Linked DNA regions of Saccharomyces cerevisiae S288C. Changing the gene in region 3 together with the main gene of any one other region gives a genetic interaction. Each region holds a gene or a part of one and is shown on either strand. Other genes may lie near its edges.

Evidence for each region.
Region 1: mutations in RPL37B (region 3) and CDA2 impair growth when combined (synthetic growth defect), as found in Saccharomyces cerevisiae (one large-scale study listed by BioGRID).
Region 2: mutations in RPL37B (region 3) and UGA4 impair growth when combined (synthetic growth defect), as found in Saccharomyces cerevisiae (one large-scale study listed by BioGRID).

Annotation. Positions count from the first base shown.
Region 1 is NC_001144.5:746,063-749,555, reverse strand, and holds CDA2 (chitin deacetylase CDA2), read right to left. Parts: upstream 1,620-3,493; coding exon 681-1,619; downstream 1-680. Other genes in the region: IMH1 (Imh1p), read left to right, coding at 1-522; DPA10 (Dpa10p), read left to right, coding at 2,445-2,708; chitin deacetylase CDA1, read right to left, coding at 3,031-3,493. UniProt on the Saccharomyces cerevisiae protein: Hydrolyzes the N-acetamido groups of N-acetyl-D-glucosamine residues in chitin to form chitosan and acetate. Chitosan is a component of the spore wall.
Region 2 is NC_001136.10:82,595-86,665, reverse strand, and holds UGA4 (Uga4p), read right to left. Parts: upstream 2,397-4,071; coding exon 681-2,396; downstream 1-680. Other genes in the region: active spliceosome conformation promoter CWC2, read left to right, coding at 1-459. UniProt on the Saccharomyces cerevisiae protein: Required for high-affinity, high-specificity GABA transport. Also transports putrescine.
Region 3 is NC_001136.10:1,449,579-1,452,523, forward strand, and holds RPL37B (60S ribosomal protein eL37 RPL37B), read right to left. Parts: upstream 1,276-2,945; coding exon 1,269-1,275; intron 880-1,268; coding exon 620-879; downstream 1-619. Other genes in the region: LCD1 (Lcd1p), read left to right, coding at 1-495; PLM2 (Plm2p), read left to right, coding at 1,775-2,945.

The DNA of each region.
Region 1 (3,493 bases), on a different chromosome or scaffold from region 3:
GACATCAAAAGGAAGACTCAAGCCACTTCAGATGATTCCGATCAGTTGGAACAGATCACATCTAATTTAAAACTCTCATTGTCTAAGGCTGATGAAAAGAATTTTGAGCTACAGTCTGCCAATGAGAAACTTCTGAATTTAAATAACGAACTTAACAAGAAATTTGATCGATTACTAAAAAATTATCGTTCATTGTCCTCTCAATTGAATGCTTTAAAGGAAAGACAATACAGTGACAAGTCAGGAAGAGTTAGTAGGTCTGGTTCTATCGGTACTCTAGCTAACGCGAATATTGATTCCTCACCAGCGAATAACTCTAATCCAACTAAATTAGAGAAGATACGATCATCAAGTTCATTGGAGTTAGACTCTGAGAAAAATGAAAAAATTGCATATATAAAAAATGTTTTGTTGGGATTTTTGGAGCACAAGGAACAACGGAACCAATTACTTCCTGTAATTTCTATGTTGTTACAACTGGACAGTACTGATGAAAAAAGACTGGTTATGTCTCTGAAGTAAAAATGTAGCTGAAAGCAGAAGATACGTATATATTGAAACAGTTTTTTTCTTCCTGAAATATATCAAGAAGTTGCTGCATGTCTATATATAAAATACTAAAGCAATTTCTTTTTAAATTGTAATTTAATTCTTCCTTATTTTCTTCAATTCCCTGAAAATTAGGACAAGAATTCTTTTATGTAATCAATTCCGCCGACACAATGAGAAACTGTTGATTGATCATCACCTATCAACTTATTTATTTTAATGGCAAGATCGACAGTTTTTTCCGTTGAATCGTGTTCTAATATTAATCCGGTTCCTGACTTGTTCCAGTTTATTACATTTTGAAGAATTTCTTGTTCAGTTATGACAGAATCATTGAGAAGGAGGCTCCAATCAAAAGTATCGTGATCCCATAAGACGGCTTGTAAGCCAAATTGCCTTGTTATTGCTCTTACTCTATTATCTATTCCGCCATATGGAGGTCTGAACCATTTGGGGGTATGGTTGCCAGTAGCATTCATCGCCCAGATGGACCATTCAATTTGAGCTATAATTTTTTCATTCGATACATTTGGCAAATATACGTGAGACCAGGTATGTGAGCCGATTAAGTGTCCCTCCTTTTGCATTCTTTGATAGATATCTGGATGTTGAACTATATTGACACCTAAATTGAAGAAGGTGGAATTATGCTTCAACCGGTCCAATAATTTAGTAGTGGAAGCAGAAGGACCATCGTCAAATGTCTGGGAAAGTTTGGAACATGTGTACACATCATCGTGTTCGGTGCAGTGATGGCAATCGAAAGAGCACGAGTCCCTTGGAACACTGTCGCAATGGTTTTGATCATATTCCTTATAATCTGGAATTTGACTGAAATCAATGAAATCTAAAGGTATATAAGGTGGATCTAACCCAGGCCATTCTTTTAACCCGGTAAATGCACTAAGCCAATCCGGAAAAGGCGTTTTTGTAGCTGCCCTTTCCAATACAGGAAATTGAAAGTCTATCTGCTTTAAATCTTCCCTATTAGCTTCCGCGTGAACAAATTGCCCCAGACAGGAAAGTGCAATAATACATTGCAAATCAATTGTATTTAGTTGTATTCTCATTTTCAATTGCCGATCCGTAGAAATAATAACAACTCTTTTGCAGTTTGTTTACCCACTGTGGGTTTTTGATAAATAATAGAGGATTACTGAAGGAGAGAGAATATTTTAAATGGATTTTGATAATACTACAAAAGAATAGCCAGTAATTTTTGCGTTGCGTCACAAAATCAAATATCTAGTTTGTTCCCTGACGCATGTTTCTCATGTGTTACCCGTCCTTTTGTAACCTTCACTGCTACAGCCGTACTATGTGGCATTTATGGGTTAATAGAAAGTTCCATTAATCCGACATTAAAATTGGATGGATTAATGGAGAACACAAAGGCAAAAAAACAATGGAAGAACAAAGAAAATTTAGCGGAAGTAAAAATAACAGCCGAAAGCCAAATTCAGGCTTATCTTGCCTACTCTTTCTTTTATCGAATTCCTTTAGGCCGTTGCAATAGAAAAGTAATAAAAACGCATATACGTAAGTTGTAGTCAGTGTAATTGCAATCTATTATGCGCATCAGGTGCGCATACTACATCCATTGGTGCACAAAAAAAGGAACGCAGACAAGAAAATTATTCAGTTTGCTGTTCGTGATGAGCCATCCCTGAATATGACTAATGTTAATGTTCAATTTGGGATCTTATTTTTTTTTGTGCAGTAATAAGAATCTTTGAAAAAAAACTATATAAGCCTATATAGTTTGTAAGATATAAGACAAAACACACCTGCTTTTCCACTACACATTTTCGTTATTATATAAAAAAGACAGCCAAGTATACTTGTCAACAAAATAAACTCATAGCAATTACACTATAAAAACAATAGCATCAAAAATGTCACTAAGAAACATATCAATGATCACAAAAAATTTGCAAACAACTGCCAAGTGTTATGTCCCAAAAAGTTCACCTACATCAACAACTATTCCGGTTATAAGGGATGCTAGTACTACTCAATGTCGCAGAATAACTACCGTCATCAATATTACGAGTCTGAAAGGATATTCTCCATCTCCAAGAACAGTTCATGATAAGCCAATTGTTATTTGCACTGACAACGAAGAGGTAGAGACTGTATCGGAGCACGTAAAAGTATAATTTGAATTAATCTACTCTTAACACTGTTCAAATGTACGTGTAACGTTTTGACGCTAAAAGATTCTAAAAAATTACTTTTTAAAGTTATACCCTCTGACTTTATGTGACATCAGCATCCTAAGTACCTACCGTTCATAATTTGACGCTTTTCCTTATACATTCAAGCATCGATATATATGATTTTTATATATGTCCTCTATTCTAATACATACTTTTTTACTTTTGAAATAACAAAATATTCTTTTTATTTTTGCGAGTTGAATAATTAAATAAGAGATCAAAGATATATAGAGAGAAACTTTATTTCTCGGAAATCTTACTTCTAGTCGTAGCGTTCGATGTAGTCTGTATCACCAATACATTCTGCAATTGTCAATTGGTCACTACCAATAAGTTCGTTGATTTTAATAGCAACCTCAACTGTTCTTCGTGCACCATCGTGCTCTAAGATCAAACCTTTCCGTTTTCCCTTCCAAGTATTTATGTCCATAAGTATTTCTTCCTCTGTTCTGAAATCATCATTAGTGATTAATTTCCAATCAAAAGTATCGAGATCCCACAAGACAACCGTTAGGCCAAACTGTTTTACTATAGCTCTAACCCTATTATCAATTGCACCGTATGGAGGCCTAAAATACTTGGGGAAATGTTTGCCTGTGGCATTCATAGCCCAAATTGACCATTCAATTTGGGCTACAATTTCTTCGTTTGATAAACTTGGCAAGAATTCATGTGACCACGTGTGTGTACCAATCAAATGACCCCTCTCTAAAATATGCTCATAT
Region 2 (4,071 bases), 1.4 Mb from region 3:
TATCAAGCTAATGCAGAATTTGCCAAAGAAGCCATGAGCAATCAGACATTGCTGCTACCCAGCGATAAAGAATGGGATGATAGAAGGGAGGGTACTGGACTATTGGTGAAATGGGCAAATGAAGATCCAGACCCCGCTGCACAGAAAAGACTGCAAGAAGAACTGAAGTTAGAGTCTTTAAACATGATGGTGCATCTAATCAATAACAATACCAATAGTGCTGGCACTGAGGTTAATAATAAGAATAATGAAAGGTTAGACAGGACATTTCCAGAAGCAAGTGTTGATAATGTCAAGAAAAGACTATTGCCATTAGATAATGGAATGGAGAGTGATGATTTTATAGAAAAATTGAAGAAAGTGAAAAAAAATATCAGTAGAGAAAATATTTCATCAAAGCCATCTGTTGGTAAGCTTGGTGGTCCCTTGCTCGATTACCTCTCCTCTGATGAGGATTAGAGAAGAAAATCGTTTCCACCAAATTCTAAGTATCTGCCATTAACATTCCCGCTGAGCTGATCATAAATTATCCGCGCTTCTTGATTTTTATGTTTGGGCGCAGAAAACAAGCTAAAACGGTGAGATAGGATAAACTATAATATAATTAAATTAAAAATACTGACTATATAAGCTAGACCTTATAAACTCTGAATATAAAATCTTTATAAAGGTTTGAACATTTATGGTTCCTGTTTGGACATAATTGTGTCGATAACATCAGCACCAACGGCTTCAGTATAATCATCATCCGACAAATTGGTTGCTGGACCGTGGTAGTATTTCTTCTTGTAAACTTTGTAGTAGATACCTGCAAGGATCCAGATACCGGGACCAATAACGCATGCATAATTCATTGTGGATTTAGTAATACCATGTTGTTGAGAGGGGAACATAACCAAAATAATAATGAACAATTGGAAAGCAACACCTGTCCAAGCAACAATTGGAGACCAGATTTTACCCAAATAAAATGGACCAGGTCTAAATAAATCTCTACCTGATGTTAAACGGAAAACTGTAGGGGTACTCCATGCCAAATTGTTTCCTGCAACAGCCAGACTAAATAATGCATCAGTGGCGGCATCATCAATCAAACATAACAATCCTAAAATCAAGGAACCTACACAGGCAGCCAAAATAGCGAAAAAAGGGACCGAGTATTTAGAATCCACTCTTTTAATATACTTTGATAGGGGCAAACCGTTATCACGGGAAAATGCCCAAACTTGTCTAGAAACAGCTGTGGTAATGGAAGCACCCATTAGAAATTGACAGAATGCGATCAATGACATAAATGCAATGGCCCATTTTTTTCCTAACGAATCATAAATTATTTGAGCCAAAGCAAAGCCGTACTTGGAGTCCAAAACGCTGTCAATATCAGGGTTGATACAGGCCATTAAACAAATAATAATCAACCAACCTAAAATCCAACAAACAGCAATAGATGAGATTATACCAATGGGGACTGATTTCTTGGCATCTTTGGCTTCTTCAGATTGATGGACACATGAATCAAAGGAACCAATAGTCCAGACAGCAGGCATGAAACCAGCAAGACAAAATTGCCAACCATTATTCCAGTCACTTAAGTTTTCATATTTCCCAAATATAAAGTCACCATCATTGAAACCTCCCATTCTATGCTTGGTACCAATCGGTAGCGCAATGAACAATAAAACAATAATGAAAAGATTGGCAAATATACTTAGCGTCTGCAGACGAGCAATGGCCCCAGAAGCAACACATGTACAAATACACATAACCACCACTGCTCCAGCAAATATACCGTAAAGTTTCCCACTCGTTACTTCAAAATTTCCATCTTTGGTTAATGTGACAGCAGCAGCAATTTCCTCAGCCAAACCGTAATCAATGGAACACACACCGGCTGCCAACGCTAGGGAGTTTGAGCAACCAATAATAAAAGAAATAATCTCTTTATAACCTTCTGGAGCATAGTAATACGTCCAGTAGTACAAACCACCAGCGGTAGGAATGGAACTTGCATGTTCAGCCATGGTAATACCCACCAGTAAAATGAAAAACGCAGCAACGAACCAACCCCACACTAATGTTGCTGGACCACCACCGAGCCCACCACCCATCACAGATGCAATGGAGGGCAATAGACCCATAATGGAGAACGCAATACCGAAAACTTGTAATGTTGAAAATTGTCTTTTTAATTCTTGTTTATAACCGATCTCTGCAAGCAGTTGGTTATCATTTACAGATTTAGCAGCATCGATATAGTTCACTTCACCGGCACCAGTCTTGGAGCGAATCGACCTTAGGTTAGACCCAAGGCCTTGTAACTGGTAAGCCTGACCGATATCAGTGGATATTCTTTGTTCTACTGATATCTTATTCTCGTTTTTGCTTGACATACTCATTGTTAGTAATAATAAATTATAAGACCTTGTTACACTTCACAACTGAAGTAAACAGCTTATACTGTTTTATATAATCACAACAAGAAGGAAAGGACCATGCCAGTCAACAGAATACGTTTGAACTACTTCTTAATATATATGCATTTGTTATTCAAGAGTAAGCCGTATTCGCTATCATTATCACTGAGCACAATCTCACATCAAGATTCTAACCCAAAGAAGGAACTGATTACTGTGCCAAGCCGCGTTATCCGACTTAAAATTAGTAGGTTCTCCCCTTATTCGATAAACGTACATGGGTACGTGCACCGGTATTGGACCATCGAAGGCCCTCACCTCCATGGTAATAGATTGCAAAATCCAACATGACATAAAACATCTCGAAATTGCCGCCGGCGGTTTTTGGCGCACGATAAGCGATAAGCGATTAGCGATAAGAGTACCTTAGTAAGATGCCTAGGAAAAAGAAAATAAGATACGCAAGCCGCGGTTAAACAATGATATAGAGTTGCCTGATCAGTAACCACTAAAGAGAAAAATAGATCCCAAAAAATCAATCATTTCAATGATTGAAGAAATTGTCATTCACAATAAACACTGGAAATGAGTGCAAAGTGGAAAACAATGTGGAAAAAGAAAAAAAATTAAACTTGCGCAAGCCCGGAATCGAACCGGGGGCCCAACGATGGCAACGTTGGATTTTACCACTAAACCACTTGCGCTAAGTGAACTTGAAAACGGGAGCGTTGGATAACAACTAATACAAGACTGTTGACAACAATTCTGCGAGAGTAACTTGTCGTCAACACTTATTATCATTTTGAATCACAGAGGGTGCTTATCCTCTTGGAATAAATGGTCTACATCATTCTAAATGGTAGAAGCATGGAAGCCCAGACGTTAACGAGTTACACAGGTGTTTATATGTTTAGATTTATGTATGTAGCAACGCTAAGCTATCTCATCTTGAGATACAACACGAAAAATGGAATGAACAGATCACCTAACAGTTAAACCACTCTAACAGTTACTATTAGAGTGGTTAAATGTAAACTCTTGTGCAGTAAATAAGAACTAACCTTAAACCTTCACTAACGAAAGTGCTACTAAAAGGTACCTCAGCAATGGATTTCTGTTTCCAGACTGTTTTGAAAGTACAGGCCATTCATTATAATGACTGCGGTTTATTCAAGGCAAACCATCCGACATGCCTCAAGAGTTACTGGAAAATGAGGTGGTCTCCTTGTTATACAGAGACTGACTATTGCTTCGTCTCAAGCTTTGTAAAAGGTACCCACCCTTCTTGAAGTCACCAGAGTTAAAACCAACCTCTTGGTTTCGAGAGGTTGAAGTCTCTCAAAATGTAACATTTAACTATAACATCAGTCGTATGTTATTACTGGATGAAAGATACTGGTATCACTGCTCTTTGCTTCGCATGCTGTCACAAATTGTCGTTGTGAGCTCTCTTAGTTATTTGAATTAGTGATAAGATATTCACATATCTTACTTGCTTCTTCTTACATCAAAGAAAAAACATAAGCATGATAAATAAAAAATGCAAGATCCGCTCTCAAATTCTTTACAACGAATTCTTTGTTTAGACTAAACGATAAAGAAATTCTTCTGCAAACATAATCAAAGAAACTGTGCAGGAAATGAGAACGGCAAGAAA
Region 3 (2,945 bases):
AGGGAGCAAGCGTTAATGATAGAAAGGTACGTGGGACAAGACTCCCCGAACTTGGACCTCAGATGCCATCTTATTGAACATACTTTAACCATAATATATAGGCTATGGAAAGACCATTTCAAACAATTGCGTGAAGAACAAATCAAGCAGGTAGAAAGCCAATTGATTATGTCACTATGGAGGTTTCTCGTATGCCAAACCGAAACTGTGACAGCAAACGAAAGAGAAATGAGAGATCATCGACACCTTGTAGATAGTTTGCATGATCTGACGATAAAGGATCAAGCCTCTTATTACGAAGATGCCTTTGAGGATTTACCAGAATATATCGAAGAAGAATTGAAGATGCAATTGAATAAAAGAACGGGGAGAATAATGCAAGTAAAGTACGATGAGAAATTTCAAGAAATGGCAAGAACTATTCTTGAGTCAAAATCATTCGATCTAACCACACTAGAGGAGGCCGATTCATTATATATCTCAATGGGACTGTAAGGCAACAATCAAAAGGGGAAAATGTCAACGCTTTATAGAAACCTTGTAATGCTTAATATTAACTATATATAATTTATATTATTTTCGTTTTAGGAAAGAACAAAACTTATAGATAATATCAAATTTAAGCAGAAGTAGCCTTAGCAGAACCGGTTTGGAAACCGTTCTTAAATCTTCTGGAGACATGCTTCAAATATCTCATTCTACCGGTACCAGTAGTGTGTCTTCTCTTTGCCTTGGCAGCCCAGTTGTGAGATCTAGTCTTAGCGGATGGGTAACCACAAGAGGAACAGGTCTTCTTTTGAACATGGAAAGAACGACGACCACATCTGTTACACAAGGTGTGAGATTTGTTGTGACGCTTACCGAATGAAGGAGTACCCTCTGTTTAAAATGAAAACATAAAAGTTAATTATCGTTAGTAAAACTTTGAACTAAATAAACTCTACTGCTGGATTCAGAACAACTTCATTGGCGGTCTAGATGTGTGTTGCTGTCTTACACTATTTCTTCTCACCTTTTTGTATTGACACTCAAATCTTTTTATTCGCTCTTTATGCATCCGTTATGTGCAATTTCTTATCATCAATGGCTCTGGCAACATTCATCATTCTATATTTTTAAATCTTTTGGCATAGTGAATAACGTAGGTCTTAGTTTACCTGGCCTCTCCTGGTGGAAAATTTTTTCAGTGCTTCTTTCTCATGTAATCCTCTAAATCAGACCGGATGTGATTGAACGTTGACTCATCAATTAATAATTCCTGTACATACTACCCATCTTTACTTATATATTCGTTTACCTCTTTGTTCTTTATCTACACATAGTAGTGCTTTTTGTTACCGCTTTCTATAGTAACCTATGCTTACTATTCCAGCCATGTTTCCAATCTCATCCTTCCCGCAAGTGGCAGGAAGATTCTCAGTGATAATATTAGTGGTGTACGGAGTGCTTGAAGAAAAAAAAAACTGATATAGAACCCAAAAATGTTCGGCTTTTAAAATACAAATATGTACAGGTGTTAATGTCTAAATAATGATAATCCAAACGCGATAATTTTTTTTTCGCGTTTGTTTTTGTTTCAGAAGAATAAGTAAACACTTCTGCCTCTCCCAAGAAAGTTTAATTTCTCTCCTTATTTGCCGTTTCTATCGTTACTAGCAACGGGGAACAATATATAGAAGCGTTTTTTTTTTTGGTATACTATTTACACAATATTTGCCGATTTCATTAGTCTTTTCGCTAGAAGTTTCACGACAAAATCGTCACAATTTTGGTTATGTCCCATCTCTTCCCACCATCATCACCAGTTGCTGGTAAACCTTTGGAAAGCCCACAAAAAGAACCTGGTAAGCTTGCTAATACTTCTGTATTGACCTTAGGAAGAAAACGGTATAATTACGAATTGGAAGAGTATCCTACTCCAGACCCGTCGTCTAGCATCGGAAGACAATCTTCACCAGTGAAAGATATCACTTCACGTTTAAATGAGACCAAATCTGCCTTGTCATCTCCTTCAAAGCAAGAAAAGGTGCTTGCAGGCCCTATCGAGATTGAATTAGATGCATCGGATCCCTCACGTTTAGCCATCGGTAGGAAAAAATCAGTCTGCAACATTATTTTGCCATGCAGAAAGAATATCTCTAGGCAGCACGCTTTTATTTCATACGCCGCCGACAGAAATGAAATAAAATTGGAATGTAATGGAACTAATGGGTTGTCCGTTCACTTGCCTTACTCCATGCAGTTGCATTTGGTAAAACCCTTCCCAACAAGGAACTTTTATAAACTAGTGGCAGAAGAGCCTTTGACCTCGCAAAATACTAAACAATCGCATGGAAAAACTCTTCAAAAGAACCAAAACTTCATCAGCTTTGTTTTGGCTAAAGGTGAAACTGTTACTTTCCCCTATATCCAAGGAAGTTTCATAAATTTTACAGGCGTCACAGTCTGTCTTTCATTGAAAAAAGTAGCACCTTATCCTGGCGATGGCAACAATAACTTTGACGAAGAGAACTCGACAGAAACGGAGGATGAGTTGTGTTTATTAACAACAACGAGCGATGATTTTTCTTGGCAAAAAGAAACACCTTCGATGAAATTTGTCCCAGTTGAGCATTCACCTCGTACAGAACAGATCTCAAAACCATTACTTATTGCATCTCCTGCTCTTGTGAAAAACTCCCCCATTAGTTATAGAACAACACCCCAAACATCTTTCGTTATTAATCAGCCATCAACTCCAAAGAAACTGAAGCGTAAATCAATTTCATTGAAAAATAACACTATACAAGAGACACCACTTCCTAAAGATAAAATAATTGGGACATTAAGTGCCAGTACTAGGAGTGGTGGCATTAATGAAGAAGAATCTTTCGCAGCAGTTGCAAAAAAAACTAAAGAGCTGTCTTCTACAACCGCGATTGTATCTCCTGCACAAAAACGTCTTA